Linked DNA regions of Drosophila melanogaster. The protein of the gene in region 1 interacts with the protein of each later gene in a pairwise test. Each region holds a gene or a part of one and is shown in the gene's direction. Other genes may lie near its edges. The genes, in order: CG13168 and CG15549.

Evidence for each region.
Region 2: the proteins of CG13168 (region 1) and CG15549 interact in a two-hybrid assay, tested with the Drosophila melanogaster proteins (one large-scale study listed by BioGRID).

What each region holds. Positions count from the first base shown.
Region 1 is NT_033778.4:12,249,423-12,257,733, forward strand, and holds CG13168 (uncharacterized protein), read left to right. Parts: upstream 1-4,569; 5' UTR 4,570-4,938; coding exon 4,939-4,942; intron 4,943-4,998; coding exon 4,999-5,593; intron 5,594-5,649; coding exon 5,650-5,799; intron 5,800-5,851; coding exon 5,852-6,185; 3' UTR 6,186-6,279; downstream 6,280-8,311. Other genes in the region: Vha36-2 (vacuolar H[+] ATPase 36kD subunit 2), read left to right, coding at 7,933-8,311.
Region 2 is NT_033777.3:30,932,529-30,940,310, reverse strand, and holds CG15549 (uncharacterized protein), read left to right. Parts: upstream 1-3,803; 5' UTR 3,804-3,852; coding exon 3,853-4,266; 3' UTR 4,267-4,915; downstream 4,916-7,782. Other genes in the region: CG15550 (uncharacterized protein), read left to right, coding at 3,213-3,644.

The sequences.
Region 1 (8,311 bases):
AAATTTTTATTATAATAAAGCACATATCCGAGTCGTGGGCGGTTTGTAGACCACGCCCACCTACAGCCCAGGCTAACGTATTCATGGGAAACAGTGTTGCTTTCCTTCCTGTTCCATTTCCACCGCTCTTCCTACCAACATCCGAAAATTCTGTGTGTGTATAATGAATGCTGGCAGTGTGTTGGTTGGTGGAAATGCTTCTATGCGTGTGTGCGTGTGAGTGCGATATCTCTCTCTCTCTCTCCTCCTCTCTCTCTCTCGCTTACTTGGCGAAGTGGTAGCTCCTCCAAAACGGCGTCCAACATGACCTACATTCCGGATCCGGGCGACGATGTAGCTAAGCAACTCCAGGGTCTCGAAGCCACCATCTCACCCTTGGCCGCATCCGAAAAAGCAGGAAGTCCGGGGAGCGCGGGAAGCTCAGCGAAAGCAGAAGAACAGAAAAGCACGCAGCACGCATAGGAAAAAAGGACTCCCCTCTGGCAGTCCTGCCAGTCCGCCTCCCCTCTGCCCCCCCTGCCACCTTAACCCAGTCATCTTCCCAGTCAAGACTTATAAAAATTGTTTTCGGCCGCTTATTGGCAACAAATTTGCGTGCCTTGCATACAGAACAGCAACGGCAAAAGGACGAAAGCCAGAGAACAAACGCGGAGTTCACTACAGTAAAAAATCAGTACTTTAAACACCTCATAAACAGAAAAAAATGCATTGAAAATCAAGAATTTAAAGCTTCAGTTCTCAACACTCGAATTTAGGATAGAAACGATAACATACACACTTTTCAGATACTATAAACATAATTTATGTGTACTTTACTTAAAATACAATTTCGCTGGCATTTTGTATCGAGTTTTATTTTCGACTGTATCGCAAACAAGATGAGAAACCTGATATAGGGCTCTCCCACAGCGACTTCATTACAAAGTTTGCCAAATTGTGTAGGCGCTAAATGCAACAAATACACCAAACAATTTATTAACTTGGTCTGAAGAGATTTTCGCCGGCTTCGCGAGGAATCAGTCAGATGAAAGTAAGCGGCTGGGTTTACCACTAACAAGTGAATTTTGTTCGCCATTTTTTTTTCGCAACGCAATATCATCAATCATTTTGGCCCGGACATTTGCTGCTTTTGGCCTAAATTAAACAGGCAAGTCAGGATATGGGAGGGGGGAGGGAGACGGAAGTGAGGTTTGGCAAACAAACCCGGTGCACGTGCGGTCATTTTGTCGTTTATTGTTGACTTTGGTCAAACAGAAAATATATAATAAATACAATATTTGAAGATGATCACAGCCAGGCGATAGTCAGCACGTGCTGAAATATGTATGAAATAAAATATCCATCTTATATCATAATTAAGTATCTGCAAAGGTTCGCAGAAGCAGAAGCTACATGAATGTTGCGTGATGAAAATATGTAAGCAGAAAAGTAAACTTAATAGCTAATACAAAAATGCCTGTAATTGGATATTATTTGTATGTATTAAGTATGTAATTACTTTGGCATTTCTGCAACGGCCCCCATTTAGGAAATGTCAATATCTACGCTGATCCAATTAAAGTTTCTTGAAACTGTTTTTGCCCGGATTTCTTTGATAAACTTGCCAAGGTCCTGGAATCCTTGATTTGGATTTGCTGCTTGAATTTCAATTTCGTTTGTTCTCCAAGCGTAGCGAAAGCTAAATCTTTCCCAAACTTTTGATAGTTTATTAAATTATTATAAAAAAATGAGGAAAAAAATGCTCGCCAAAGCGAACAGAAACTTTTCTAATAGCAACAAAAATTTGAAACAACCAAGTCGAGTGGATGGGTAGGCTGGTTGGGTGGCTTGGCTTTGGCTTGGCTGGATACACTTTGTTAGCCAAGTTAACTCTTTGCAGGTTCTGAACGACAGTTTGTTCTGTCGCTCGCTTCACAGTTCAGAACATTCAAATTACAGAGAAGGTTGGCAAGTCAAACCAAACGGAAGCAAAAGCCAAAAGTTCTCGGGGCAACTTGAGTGCAAGTTGCTCCATAAAATGTGCCAAACATTACCAACTCAAAATACATGCCAGACTGCCTCGGAACAGATCCAAAAACTACAGTCCAAAAGTGTAACTGCCAAACGGAAACAAGACAGGGAAAAACCCAAAAAAAAGACAGAGAAATTACCAAAAAAAAACACCAAGAAAGCCATGAAAAATTCAGAGGAAAGTTGTCCAGGTGGGCGACAGGATTCAATGGGGCGAGAACTGGGCTGGGTGCCACTTCATTTGCCAGTGCGAGCGCTTCCTTTGGTCCTCGCTCAGGTGACAAAACCAGGTGCCCGGCCAAATGGATCCTGCGCGGCAACTGAATGCCTTCCGAGCACAATCGAGTTGTGGGAAAAGGAAACTATAACTGTACTGTACTCCGAGGCATAATAATCCTGTCCGTGGCTATAATTTACCCGGAAAAGCGCCTTCATACGAATGCTTTAATTCGTTAAGTCGCTCTTAATGAGAAGCCAATAGTGAAAGTATAACTTTGAAAAAATATTATAAGATGTTCTCGTTAAGTTTCAAGGTTTCTAAGAACTAAAAATCTAAATCTGTTTATAAACACTGCTCTTATAATCCCATCTCAAACTACCACAACCTAACACGAATCTAGATCTATTTTCTTTAAAGCGAAACTACCGCAAACTAAATTCGTATTTTATCGTGAAAATACCAAGCCATCCTGCTCAAAGGAAGACCAGACCCAGGGGCATATCTTTAGCTTCCGCTGGTACGAGACCCAACAACCTGACCTTCCCGATGGCAGCCCGAGCATTATAATAACACTTTCTCAAAAAGGTTCTTTATGGGGTTTCCACCCCATTCCATTCCATTCCCCATCCCCACCATTCCCTAGCCACGAACCACCACCCACCATTAAGCACAGTTAGTTAGTCGTTTCTTGTTTCTCGTTTCCCTTTCCTTGAGTCCATTGTTCCGCGGTATCTCCGCTGTTCTCGCCTCTCCCTCTCTGTCGCCCACTTCTGCGCGACGACTATGGCCAAAAGTAATCTTCCAAGGCAAATGTGAACCACAAACAAATTTATAGCTGCAATGCGGCCAGGCCGAGCATAACGGGCCCACATTTCTGTGAAATCTATGTGAGAGCAGATGTGCAGAGGGGATGGAAATGGAGAAATAGAACTCAAAAGGAAACTGTCGAGTGAGGACGACTATAAAAATATACAACAATACTGCCAAGGCAACGGGACATAATGAGCCAGGGCCAGACGGCCCGAAACGGTAAATGGTAAGCGGTAAGTCTCTAATCGGTTAACGGTAAAGCCGAGCTCAGCTGAGCGAATGTGGGCCACCAGCAGGAGAGCGAACCATTTTGGCTTTGGATTTTTGCTTTTGCCCTGCACCTCCTTTGCAGTACCGTTAGCGTTTTTCTGCGTTCGTGCTTTGCATGGCCATTTGTTACGTATACGTGTGCGCAAGACTCTCGTTCTCTCTGCAGACTTGCCTTATTTGGCTGCATACTGTAGGGCGCTCTCCCGTTACTCCTGAATTTCAAATTTCGATGCATAACTTGAGGCGCTCGCTCTCTCTTTCTGAATCTCTCTCTCTCTCTTGTTATGTCCCTTTTTACTTTACACGTTTTGCTGCACACTTTGAAAGCACATTCTCTCTTCTTGCTCTCTCTGCTTGTTTATGCGTCATTTCTTTTGGCTTTTTCTCACACATCTCTCTTTTTGCAAAGGCAACAACAAATATTATGTCTTGCTCAATTTTATTTTTCTTCCCTTTCATCTTGCCCTTCCTTTTTTTAGTTGGTTCGCATTGCAGCATTTTATTTGCTAGCTCATTTATGCAATTACTACTGCCTTTAGTTATAACATATTATATATTTATTCATTTTAAGAAAAAGTACTGACCCTTATTATATTATTACTTCGTCTAAGTAACTAAAATTTATTTAAAATTAAATTAGGTAGGATGTGCTGAGACTCCACTGTACTAGTGAATCCGATTTTTGGCAGATTGCAGCGAAGGGCTCCCAGATTACATTCACTCTGTGGCTCCCCCTTTCATGCCAGTTTCATTAGGTAGATTTTCCACCTGAGTGAGGAACATTTCACCACCACCACCAACCCCACCCACCAACATTGTTCTGCATTCACAAGTTCGTTTCATGCTCTTATGGTTTTCTTTTTTCCCAGCAAGCCCCTCTGCAGCGCATTTTCCCTCGTTTGCTTTGCTGCAGCAGCTTTCATTCATGCCACGTCAGTTGACATAATGCGACATGGCCACACACAAGCAACAAGCCACCCACCGAAGGCGAGCGCCCACCGCCCCCTAGAAAACCGCCCCACACTCTTCATTGTCGACTACTGCACTTGGCAAAAGTTTCTACCAGTCATTGCCATGAAAGTGCCATTCAAATTTACCGCCCCTCGCCACGCCCCCTTCTTCAGTTGCTCCTTGATCGAAAGGGTTTCTATTTGGTATATATTCTTTGGCTTTGCAACCAGGCAACACGGTCAACATAGCAAGCCATGTTTGTTTATCCCCAAAAACAATAACAAACTCGGCTCAGAATTCAAAAAGACCTCGACACAAGCATAGCCAGAAAATCGGAAAAACATAAATTATAGAAAAAACAAAAGAAGCATAGAAGTTAAGAATATTCAAACAAGTGAAATACGCTCAAGAACATTTAATGGAAAAAAAAGCTTCACTTTCCAGGTTGCGGCAGATTAATTGCACCTATCTGCTTTAACTTCGTGATTTCGTTAATAATAAATAGAAAATTCCTGTTGTATCCGAGAGTCGTTTAAATTAATACATTTTAAAAGAACCCGGCACACAATTATATCGCAAAAAGGAAATTTTGTAAAGTTATTAATGTCTGTGTAAACGAAAATCTTTCAATGAGGATTTTATATATGCGCCAGGATCCGTAAAGCTGCTAAGTAAAAATGGGTTAGTATAAAATGAATGTTTTAAGACAAAACCAGTCATATCCTTTTTCCTTCCAGATACCACCGCCGAACGTCAGGTGAGACTGGAAGGAGTGGAACGTGTGCTCAAGATGTCCCAGGAGCGCATCAAGATAGCGATGATCATACCGAAGCTGCTGGAGAATCCCGAGAAGTTGAAGAGCGTCCTGAAGGACACCTGCTATGAGGAGGTTCTCGAGCCCATCGATGACATGATCCGCCACCTTGGCAAGCAGAGTGGACGTTCCAAGCTGCCACATGACCACACCACCATGCGAATCGTGGACTTCTTCCTGGTCAACCATAGCATTCATCGATTCTTTCCGCACTTGAAGAAGAACCTAAACGAAAGGGATCGCCAATTGCTGGCCGCCTTTCACTTTCTCCTGGAGAGCGCCCACGTCCATCTGCACCGATCCTCGCGTAGCGAGATTACCAAGGAGCGAAAGCTCCATGCCATCTTTCATCAGAATGTGGACATCAAGAAGAAAATCAAGGAACTGAAGGCGAGCCTGGCCTTCCAGAAGGTGATTGGCAAATGGAAGACGGCCGCCAAGGGCATCTATCTGATGAAGGTCGAGGAGGATCTGGCCAATAAGAAGTGGCAGAACAACGTGGCCATTCAGAACGAAATGTAACTCGGATTTCTAGTTCTAGAAATTCTTATTTGAATATATTTACAAATTACAGTGAAAAGTGCCATCGCACGATGCGAAGCTACCACAAGAGCAGCATGGACAGGCAGAAGGAATTGGAGGAGGAGCTGCAGAATGCCCGGGAGAGCTACGAGAAGATGACCAAGAAGCATCTGGCCGAAGAGCACGAGCTGCGAAGCGAAAAGTAAGCTACAAATCGAGTAATTTATTATTTAAGTGCTCTCAATCCTTTATAGAAACAAATTGCTCCTGCAACTGCAGAGTATGCTTAAGAAGTACGATACCAGCCTGGGCGAAAAGATGCGTGAGAATTTGGTGGCGGAGGATCAGTATCTGGCTGCCAAGAAGGTCCTCGACGATTTTATGGTCCAGTACAGGCAGGAGGAGCGCATCTACAAGAACATCGTGGTCAAGCGAGAGGAGGAGGAACGTCGCGTGCAGCAGGAGAAGCTGGTCATCTTCATGATGAACCGGGCGGCGGGCAAGATTCAAAAATACTGGCGCAAGTGGAAGAAGGATCAGCGCAAGAGGAAGCGCCAGGGAAAGGGCAAGGGCAAGAAGGGAAAGTAGTGTCCCAAACCGGATCTCTGTATATTTCTACATTGTACAATTTATATGTAGAAATACGAATATATTCCAACCTTCTACTACTACTAACGTGTATATATGTATCCTGTTTTCTCATTATTTTTTAAAACTGTCACATGCTAAAAAGTTATGTTTGCTTGAGCTCATTTGTTGTTTGCAAGCTTTTGTGGCATGAAAATCACTAAGCATGCATAAGTACCCATGTATGCAAATTAATATTTCCATAAGAGAAAAGGCAAATGTTTACTCGCAATTAAATCGTGTTTACTTGGCACTTGACAACACACAGAAATTTTCTGGAATTTCTTATATATTCTAGAGTAAAGAAATGATTATTTCCTTTATTCAGCAAGGCTAACCAATTTTATTAAATATTTTTCTATTGAACTGCGATAAATTTCGCCTAAGACATTGTCAACGCGGTTTTTTCTATGGGGTCAGAGGGCGAAATGTGTGGCTTCCCTGCGATTGCGAAAATCCAAGAGAGAATGAAAACGCCTGGCAGAATGTTTACCCAACACGCACACACACACACACACACACACATACAGCGATGGAGGGAAAAGCCAAATTTTCATGTCTTGCGGGGCGAACGAAAAATGGCGCATTGCTGTCGTCGCCAAGCGACAACGACTACGACAACGACAACTACAAACGCTCTTTTGGCCCGATGTTTGCTGCATTGTTACTTCATTTTCATTCTCGTTTTCGTTACCTAGCCATCGCTATTGCCACACCATCACCCACCACCCACCGCCCAACGCCCAGCTCACACCGCACCACCAACCCTTGTGGCATGTCTAATTTTCCAGAGGTTAACATACTTAACTTGTTGGCATGCGTTGCAAATGCGCCAAGGCTGCGTTGCACCAAGCGGCGCCACATTGCGACAATTCGCTGCGGCAAAGGAAATCGTACGGCAGCTGGAAAATGGGCAAAATCGCCGTCCAATGGTGTCCAGTGGCCAACTGTCCAATGGGCAATGTGAAATCCCAGTGGAATGGTCAAACGTTCCGCATTGTAATTGCACACACACACGCATTCGCTGGTTTGCCGATTTGTGGACATTATCTTTAGCACAAATAACAAATGTATTATATGTGAATGATTCCATTTTCTAGGGATTAAGCTAATGTAAATTAAAACATCATTTTCGAGAGCTAAATAAAAATGCTGTTTTAAATATCAGGCATAGATAAGGCAACGTTGCGTATGCGTAATTTTCCATAGGCAACTATGCGTATGAGTAATTTAAAATGATTTTGGCGGATCAGGAATTTGTTTGGTATTTTTTTTTTCAATTATAGGGTTAACAATTCATTTAACTGATTGATAAATAGTTTAATTAGTATAATTACAGCCTAAAATAACTATTCATTTCTAATTCTTATTTTGGCAAGCACTAAAATTTCTTATTCATACAAAATATTTATAATATACACCACTGCATTCACTATACAAATTGAAAGTTTTGATAAGCTCGAAAAGAATTCAAGGGAGTAAATTTGTTGACTTTTTGCCGATTGAGTCATAAAATCCCAGCTAATTCATAGCACTCTTCCACAATTTTCATATTTATTCCATAAGCATTTGAAAACCTCTTATAAGCGTGGTTTTAAAAATATACATATGTTTTTATACTCACATCAGTAATTCGTTTGTAACAAAGTCTACAATTCGGCCAAATTCAAACTCTACGTGATCAGAGTCCAATTCCAAAGTCACCGCCATGGCCAAACGCGATATCCTGCCCATCTTTCCATCCCGCGCCAATTCGGTGATCATGAAGCAGCGCGTTTTGGCGGCTAGAAGGGGCGTGGGTCTCCTCAAGCGGAAGCGGGACGCCATCGATATGAAGCTACGCGAATTGCGTCGCATCCGCTTCGACCAGGACATGCACGGCGATGAGGCGATGCGCAATGCCATATTCTCGATGGCAAAGGCCAATCTTCTGGGCGCCGATTTCAAGCCGCAGATGGTAAGCCGCAGCCACGTGGCAACCGTATCGCTACGCCGCACGGAGATCAAAATTGTGGGCGTCAAGCTGAACACCCTGGAGCTGGAGACGAAGGGCGTGGGCGCTTTTCCGCTGGCTGGTCTCAGCTGTG
Region 2 (7,782 bases), on another chromosome or scaffold:
AGCTAATATGTTGACAATCTAGCCAAGGAAAGGAGCGGGGCAGGACGAGAAAAGGACGAGGACCACTGGCACCATCTATGGTTATGTGTATTTAAGTCACTGCCAAAGCCGCGCTGAGAAAGGGGCTCCGATGGGGGGTGCGAGAGGGGAAGAAAAGGACCTGCCAGTGATGATATCCACTCCCTGCGAATTTTTAACAAGAACTATCTAGGATATCCCTATCCTCATAGTACATACTTTTTAACCGTTCTCGCCATTGAAATGTAGTAATTTAAATCACATAAAAAAATATATAAGATTTCTTTGACAATAAGATAACATTTTTGCTTGGAATTCGACAAGAGATAGACCTTTGTGACACTAGTGATATGGTTTCGACTTTCACAATAAAAATAACATTATACTTGTCGCTTTAGTATAATAAAGTAAATGTGAGGTATGGCCTGGTTATCAAATTTCCTGACCGGAGACAACATAATTATTATAGAATAGATAGTGTCTACAAGTCTAACGATGAAAATATATTTTTCAGTCTCCTGACAGTTTTCAACAGTATTTTAACGTGATCATTAAAAACAAATACGTGATCGATTTAAAATAAATTTATATGGCTATTTTATTTGGGGTATTTAGTATACTAAGTAATATTTTTTTTAGAGATACTTCCTATAAACATGTCGACTTCTTGCTCACCTCTATGCTGACACATATTATTGACAAATTTCAGCGACTGAATGCGTGCTGTTGGTTTTCTTTCTTACGCTCGTATGAGTAACAACGCAAAGCTCCCAAAAGGGGGCGGAGTGGGAGTGGCCGGCGGAGCAATCCGGGGACAACTCGTAAAAAGTGGATTTTACTGCTTAACTGTGGCACATCAAATGAAACAAATGGAAAACGCACACAACACAGCCACTGGAGTCACGAGCGGAAAATGCGGAAAATGCGGAGGCAGAGGAGATCGCACGAGCTTTCCACATAAATTCGCCCGTCTTTTTTTGCATAAATAAAATAAAATGCAATATTTTCCGCTGCAACTGCAGGCGGCCCAAATCCCTCGCACAAAAGTCAGCAATCAAAACAGATTAAAATATGATTTGACAGCTACGAAAACAAATATAAATGCAGACTGCCATGCAGTCATATGGATATGGATATTCATGTCGCGTTCGCATTCACTTACAAGTTTCAGCCGATTTCAGTTGGCATTTCGATATTGTTTCCATATTTAACTAGAGCCCCCGTCAGGAGGCTCTGACTCCGGCTCCGGATCCGGATCTGGATATATCTTCCTGCGAAGAGGTAAGCCCGCGATTGCGCGATTGCCGCGTGCTGGCATTTTTATCAAAGCGCCGCCGCTGCCTGATGCCTATTAAAAATTTAAATCAATTTTCAATATGGATTGCGCATATCCTGCGATATCTTTGGCTGACACTTTTGTTTTATTATTACAATACCCTCGATGCCAGTTAAGTTCCTATCGTGCTGCTCAGCCGAACTGTCACTGTTTGCAGCTCGTATCTTCGCAACGGATGGCGATAGTCGCGGATTTGGTCGCTTTATGTTTTATGCGCCCAACTCTGTCCGGCTCCAACCCACCTGGTGGCCAAAAGCCAGGTGATTGCAATTATCAGTTAATAAGGACGACTAACTGACCCAAAGCAGATTTGCTGCAATTAGCCAGGCCGCAGGATTCTCGTTCGCAGGAGTGCGTAAGTCGCCAAAGCCCGAAATGCCGGGCAATAATTAAATTATCATTAACGATGTCGGTTTAGCAGGGTCACATGAAACCCAGTTAAGCGGGCACTTTGAGGGGTGTTCTCGAACCCCACCCCCTCACATAGTAACATAGTAGAGGGGAAACTATCCTGTTTTGGGGATCTTTATCAGGGTGACCCAATAATTATGACTTCTCTTCCAGTTGAGATATATCTACACTCGGTTATCTACTTTGAAATAGGTTAGCTTTTTCACTCAGATTTGTACATATTTGATATGAGACAGCTTAGATAATTTAAAATCAAATAATAATCATACAAATTCAAATAGCTTATATATCTAATGACGATAATAGTATTCGCATAATATGGCTTTGAATATGTAACATCCACTCATATTTCAAAAATCCTACGCCGAACCGCAAATCACAGATTTGCGCAGTTTCGACTAACAAATTGGAAAATGTACGAAAAGCAAACCGAAATGCCGCTAAATGGGTTCCGAATGTAATTGTATTTGCATTTGCATTTGGAGCCGAGAGAAGAGCACAACTGTACTTGGGGGCTGTGTGTGCTGTGCAAATCCACGCAAAATTCCCCAAATTCCGAATGGGTTGGGTTCAAATCGAATCGAGAGGGTTGAAGTGTGCTTAAATTCTCATTAGACGCATTAGTGGCGTTGACCAGCTGCCACGCCCACCGCCCGCCGCCGCCTCTTTGCACCTGACCATGCCCGAAATTCAATAATAATAATTGATTGCTTATTACAAACGCACTGCATATGTGTCTCAAATTTATGTGGATATTCTGCTGGTGGTGGGGAAGGGGGGAACGGGTGGAATTTGCTAATATTTACGCATTAGTTTATTTGCCGATGGGAGGTGGTGAACCCCCTGCCAAATCCACCCTGTAAATGCCAAATGACCAATGCACCTGTACGGCCCAAAATCATCATTAAAGTTTAATGTTTTCATTTCGGTTTGTGCACGCAGCAATTTTAATTATTAACTTTATAATTATGCAAAATCACGAATTACATTAGAATCACTTTGTTATGCCGATTTGGTTTACGGTCTCTTTGAGCGGTGAATCGAGTGAATTGCGAGCTGATTTGGCACTTCTAATCAAGACTCGGCTGCCATTCCCCATTCCCATTTGGCCACAATAATTAAGCCCTGTGGAATAATAACCGAAAGCAATAATAACAGAAGTTTAAACTTAACCAACTTTACATACGAATCTCACACTTTTAATATCTAGGGCTAAGTAAGTACGATTGTTTAAAATGAAAGTAATATAATGCAGTATAATATTTATTTTATATCAAAAGTCTTGTTTTATTTTCGAATCATTTGGAACATTTTTTAAAGACTCCCATTGGAATAGTTCTCCTCCCAATGGAATAGTTCTGGGAAAGGCCCGTCGTCTTTGCGATAAGTGGAGCCTATAAAGTCAGCTCCACGATTTCCAAAGCTTCAGTTGAAGAAATTCCGCGCAATGACTTACAAGATCGCCGTAAAGTGGTTCCCTATTTCGCTGGTGCAGGAAGTACTGGCAGCTCAACAGCCAGCGATATCCGAATCGTGGAGCTTTTCACTGGAATCCATACCCACCAAAGTGCTGATCATCTCCAGCGTAGTCCTGATCACTTGTATTTGGATAGGCTGCGCCTACTTCATGGCCAATCGCCATCAGAAGGCGGTCCAGTATCTTCAGAGCCAACTTGACGAACTGTGGCTGCTGCAGGCTAAGCCCTCCGTTTGGCCACATGCTCCCTTCATCCCAAATGCCCGGGAGCAGAATCCGCCGGAGTATATTCCGCCTATGGATCCCCAGGAGCAGGAACAGGAGGCCAACGAGGCGCGGGAGAGGGCAGAAAAAGCCAGGGCATTTTTGGAGACCAGAAACAAACATAAAGATAAAGAGTGAGATAAAACCGATTTTAAGTGGAATTATAAATATTAACTTTACAACCTTGCATATATATTAAAAATGAAATTATACAATACTTAGATAGTTTCCAACTATTTGCTTTAGTTTTATTAAAATACATGTTGCAGTCAGCACTGACTTAGCCTTAAATTTATTTGAGAATCCTCAAAATTCATGCTATTCGACGTGTGGCAAAAAGTGCAGTATGTTGGCCAATCTGTTGACCCTAAGCTGCCTTCTGGCCCAAATTATCCCTCGGATTTGGGGGCAGTATGCGGCGGTGAACTGCTCAGATCCCAGGATCGAACTGACATCCTGTGGCCGCTTCAGTACGAACGGGTGCTGTGCCAAGGGATGTGTGAGGAATGTGCGCGGAAGGTGCGTCCAGGAGGAGTGCACCGCATCCTGGAGCGGCTGGCTTCAAAGGCCAGTGACCATGAGCTGCTACTTCCACTGGTTCCTGCTGATCTTCGCCGGGCTCATCACGGCCCTCATGCTGGGCCTGGTGGCCTGCAACGCGGCCTGCGAAATAAGGCGCTACCTTCGCCAGCGGAGAATCGAGCGATTCAGGCGCTTCAGGGATCTGAGCGGAGTCTCCATTGGATCCACTCAGTGCTAGAGCACGTGTGAGCATGAGGTCCTTGGACTAAGGGGCTGGGAATCAGGAAGGAAGTGCCGAGGGATTTACCATAATCTGCAATACATTAGCGGCAGCTTTGCTCTGGATTCCAATTCAATTCTTTGGGTATCTCCGGCCAAAGCCATGTAAATTACGATTCGCCACCTCGGAAATCCTATTAGTAGTTAAAACCTGATTAGGAAATACTTGCGGCCGAGCCTCGGGCTCACATTTGCTGAAAGCAAATAATAATAAATGGCTCTCACATGCGAGATGCTTTGTGGATACATGCCCTCCAGGGTGACACCTCCTCCGGAGCAAGTCGAAGGTGGCGTGGAATTCAGATGGCTGTGGAGTCGAGTCAAAGGTGCAATAACCCAACCGAGCGGGGCACATAAAACTAAATGGCTGCGGGTTGCGTTGCCAGTCCTCGAAGTCCTTCCCAGACCCCGGACCCCGGTCCCGGATCACCAGCTCGCTCCTCTGCGGATTCAGTAGCTATTGCGGTGGAGATAACAACCATAAGGGTACACCCGAGGGCACTCAGAGAGGAGCGTTGCAAATAGGATTGTGTATATTTTGTCACAGCTTCTTTCTGTTTTAAGTGAATGAGAGACTATTAAAATCGGGAAACTAAATATTTTATTTCAACCTATAGTCTTTAGTCTCTAGTCTATTTCACAGTATTCGCTTTAATATTTAAAGCCCCTCTGCTTCCTAATAGTTCTTCGTTTTTTTTTTTTTTTTTGTTCATTTCCCCTGCTGTTCAGCTTATGTGTGCGAATATAAATGTATATATTTTTAGTATAACTGAAAGTCAGTCAGGCATGCAGCCAAAGCTAAACGCGCTGCCAACCGCGCAGAAAATGAAATGGAAAATATTGGCGGGCGGGGGAGCTGGAAAAGCGGAAAATAAAAAGGAAATAAACGAGCCAAAAAGGAAAAGCTTTGCGAAAAGGTTGCCCATGTGTGTGGAGTGGTGGGTGGTGGGGGGTCGGGCTGGGGGTCCCGGGTAGCAGATTTAGAGGTTGCTTATGTGTGATTTAGTACAGCATGCGCGAATATGGCGGCGATAATTCTTTAAAAATTGGAAATTGTTTTCCAATCGATTTCGCATTTAGCCAAAAAGCACTCAACACAAAGACACAAAGGGCCGCCAACGAGTGTCTTTTATAAACTTGTGTAGTTGTTCGGTTTCGGATTGGCTGGGCCGCACAAGCGGATTGAACCCATACGAGTGTGTATTTATATTTGATAAAAATGTATGAAAAATACGATATTTCGTTATTTTTCACCTGGCTGCAGCTTTGAAAAGGATTTGGCAGCTGAAATCATGGATTTGGATTTGGCTTTGCCATTGGCTTTCCGTGTAGTTTGTTTATTTTCCTGGCTTGTCAAGTGAAAAGCGTTTGAATGAATTTGAGAGAGGGAGAAAAGGAACATTTTGTCTGCTCAAAAATGTAGGGCAATTAAGTATGAACAATAAGATTACAATATCCAAGGAAATGAGGGGTATTTACTTAGATATTTCATTGAAATTCATTTGACACTAACCATCGCTGAATCTCCATTAATTAATATAGGTAATTTCTGCCTGTGCACAGATCAGAATCAAGGCTGGCCAACTGTTTTAACCACATCAACCGCCCATCCTCATTCAGCCAAGTTTATATAAAAGCGATTCTCATTTCTTGATGCCCGTAAGCAACCAAAACATTTGCTCGCATTGTGTGAGTCCTGTACAAAGGATACAATGGGCACAAAAGGTTAGATACACACACATAGCAGGGGGCGTGTTTCGGTTTTTTTGGGGTGGACCCAAGGACCAAGGAGCAAAATGCGGGGAGTGGGCGATTCGTGACATATTTTATTTGCACAATGACAATACGAGTTACTCGACAGGGGCAAACGTTGGCAGTGGCCGGGGCGGGGAGGGGGAAGGACATCCGCAACCCGCCATTACACAAACACACCCTCTTCCGTTTCCTCTGCCCTGCCACCCACACCAGCCCACAATTACAGTTGGCGTTGGAAGGGTGGCGGAAAGTGGGTGGGGTGAACAGAAGCAGTGGCGCACAAAGTAGTAAAATAAGTGCAAAGGATAATGCGAATTGAAATGACAAAACCCGGAATAATCATTGGCTCCACACTCTCGGAGATAACGAATGGGTGGGGTTCTCGAAGTGGTGGAGGAAGAGGCAGTCTCCGAATGGGGAACGCTGATAAGGGGCAAACCTTTTAGCGTTTTGCCGACGGCTTTCGCGCTCAGCTGCTTAAACATTTCATCAGCACCTAGACTGCTTCATAAAAAGTTAGTACGCAGATAAAACAAAAGTAAAGATGGCAAGTGTATTAAATGGAATGGTCTACGGAGTATTAGAAATCAGATGTGGCGTTTATTACCAAGTATTTGTAGGCGGTATAGGTGGTATTGCTTGGAATATTGACTTTTCGTGCGTTCATATAATTTTGATATTGAATAATTTTGAATGCAACAATGAATCAACAGCTCCTTGGCCTTGATTTCTTCAGCCATACTTATGGCTCTTAGGGAAATTAAAATGTGCTCATTTTGTTGCCAAGTCCCTGGGATTGCGAAAGCCCCCACACACACTGGCATCAAAATCAAATTGCGCGCATGACAATATTGTCAATTTTATTTGCCGCCATTTTTATTGCAATCTCGCTGCGATGTCCCCTTTTGCCGGGGACTATCCTATACTTTTCAGCTCCTTGGGCTACGTCTATTCCTTCTATTCCCGGACGAGGAGGCCGGGCCTCGTAAAATATTTTTATGTATTTTTTATTTACCCGGGCTGCCATGCATGACCCCAATACGCTAGCTAGGGGGCCAGAGGTCGGGGCCCAGGATGCGGAAGCCACTGCAATTGGCGGAGCAGCTCCTTGGCCCGCTTTTAATGTGCGCCATTTTATTTGCCACAAAACCGACACACGGCACCATTAAAAAGCCATAAGCGTTGAGCCCCGGCCTCTCTTTCCCGTGCCCAGTTCTTCCTTTTGGCCGGACTCGCGTTTAGACGTTATTAGAAATCGCCACCACCTCACCACAACCCCCATTCCGGAATCCACCCACGCTCCGCCCGACCTTCTTCTTGTCGGCCATAAACCGGGCAAACATTTTGATTACAGTTTTTATGATTTTTAGGTCAAAATTTTGGCATCATAAAATGGCCAGCAAGTAAATTTGAAATGAATAAATAAAGGCCAGTTAAATATGAGATGATTTTATGGCCATCATTTTGTATTTGGTCATAAATGGGGTCGACCTGCAGATGGGACATTCGAATATTATTATCATCATCGTGTCTGGGCTTTGTTTATAGAGAGAAGAAAAAACACTGGCGCAATTACTCAGCTTTCTCTAGTTAATATATCAGGCCCATCTTAACGAGGCCCAAAGCTGCGGCATTAAAGGCGGCTCAGGAATTGAAATTTAAATTGTCGGCGACTCATTAAGCCGAAAACCCTTTGTTTAAGCAGGTGCCATAGGCACAG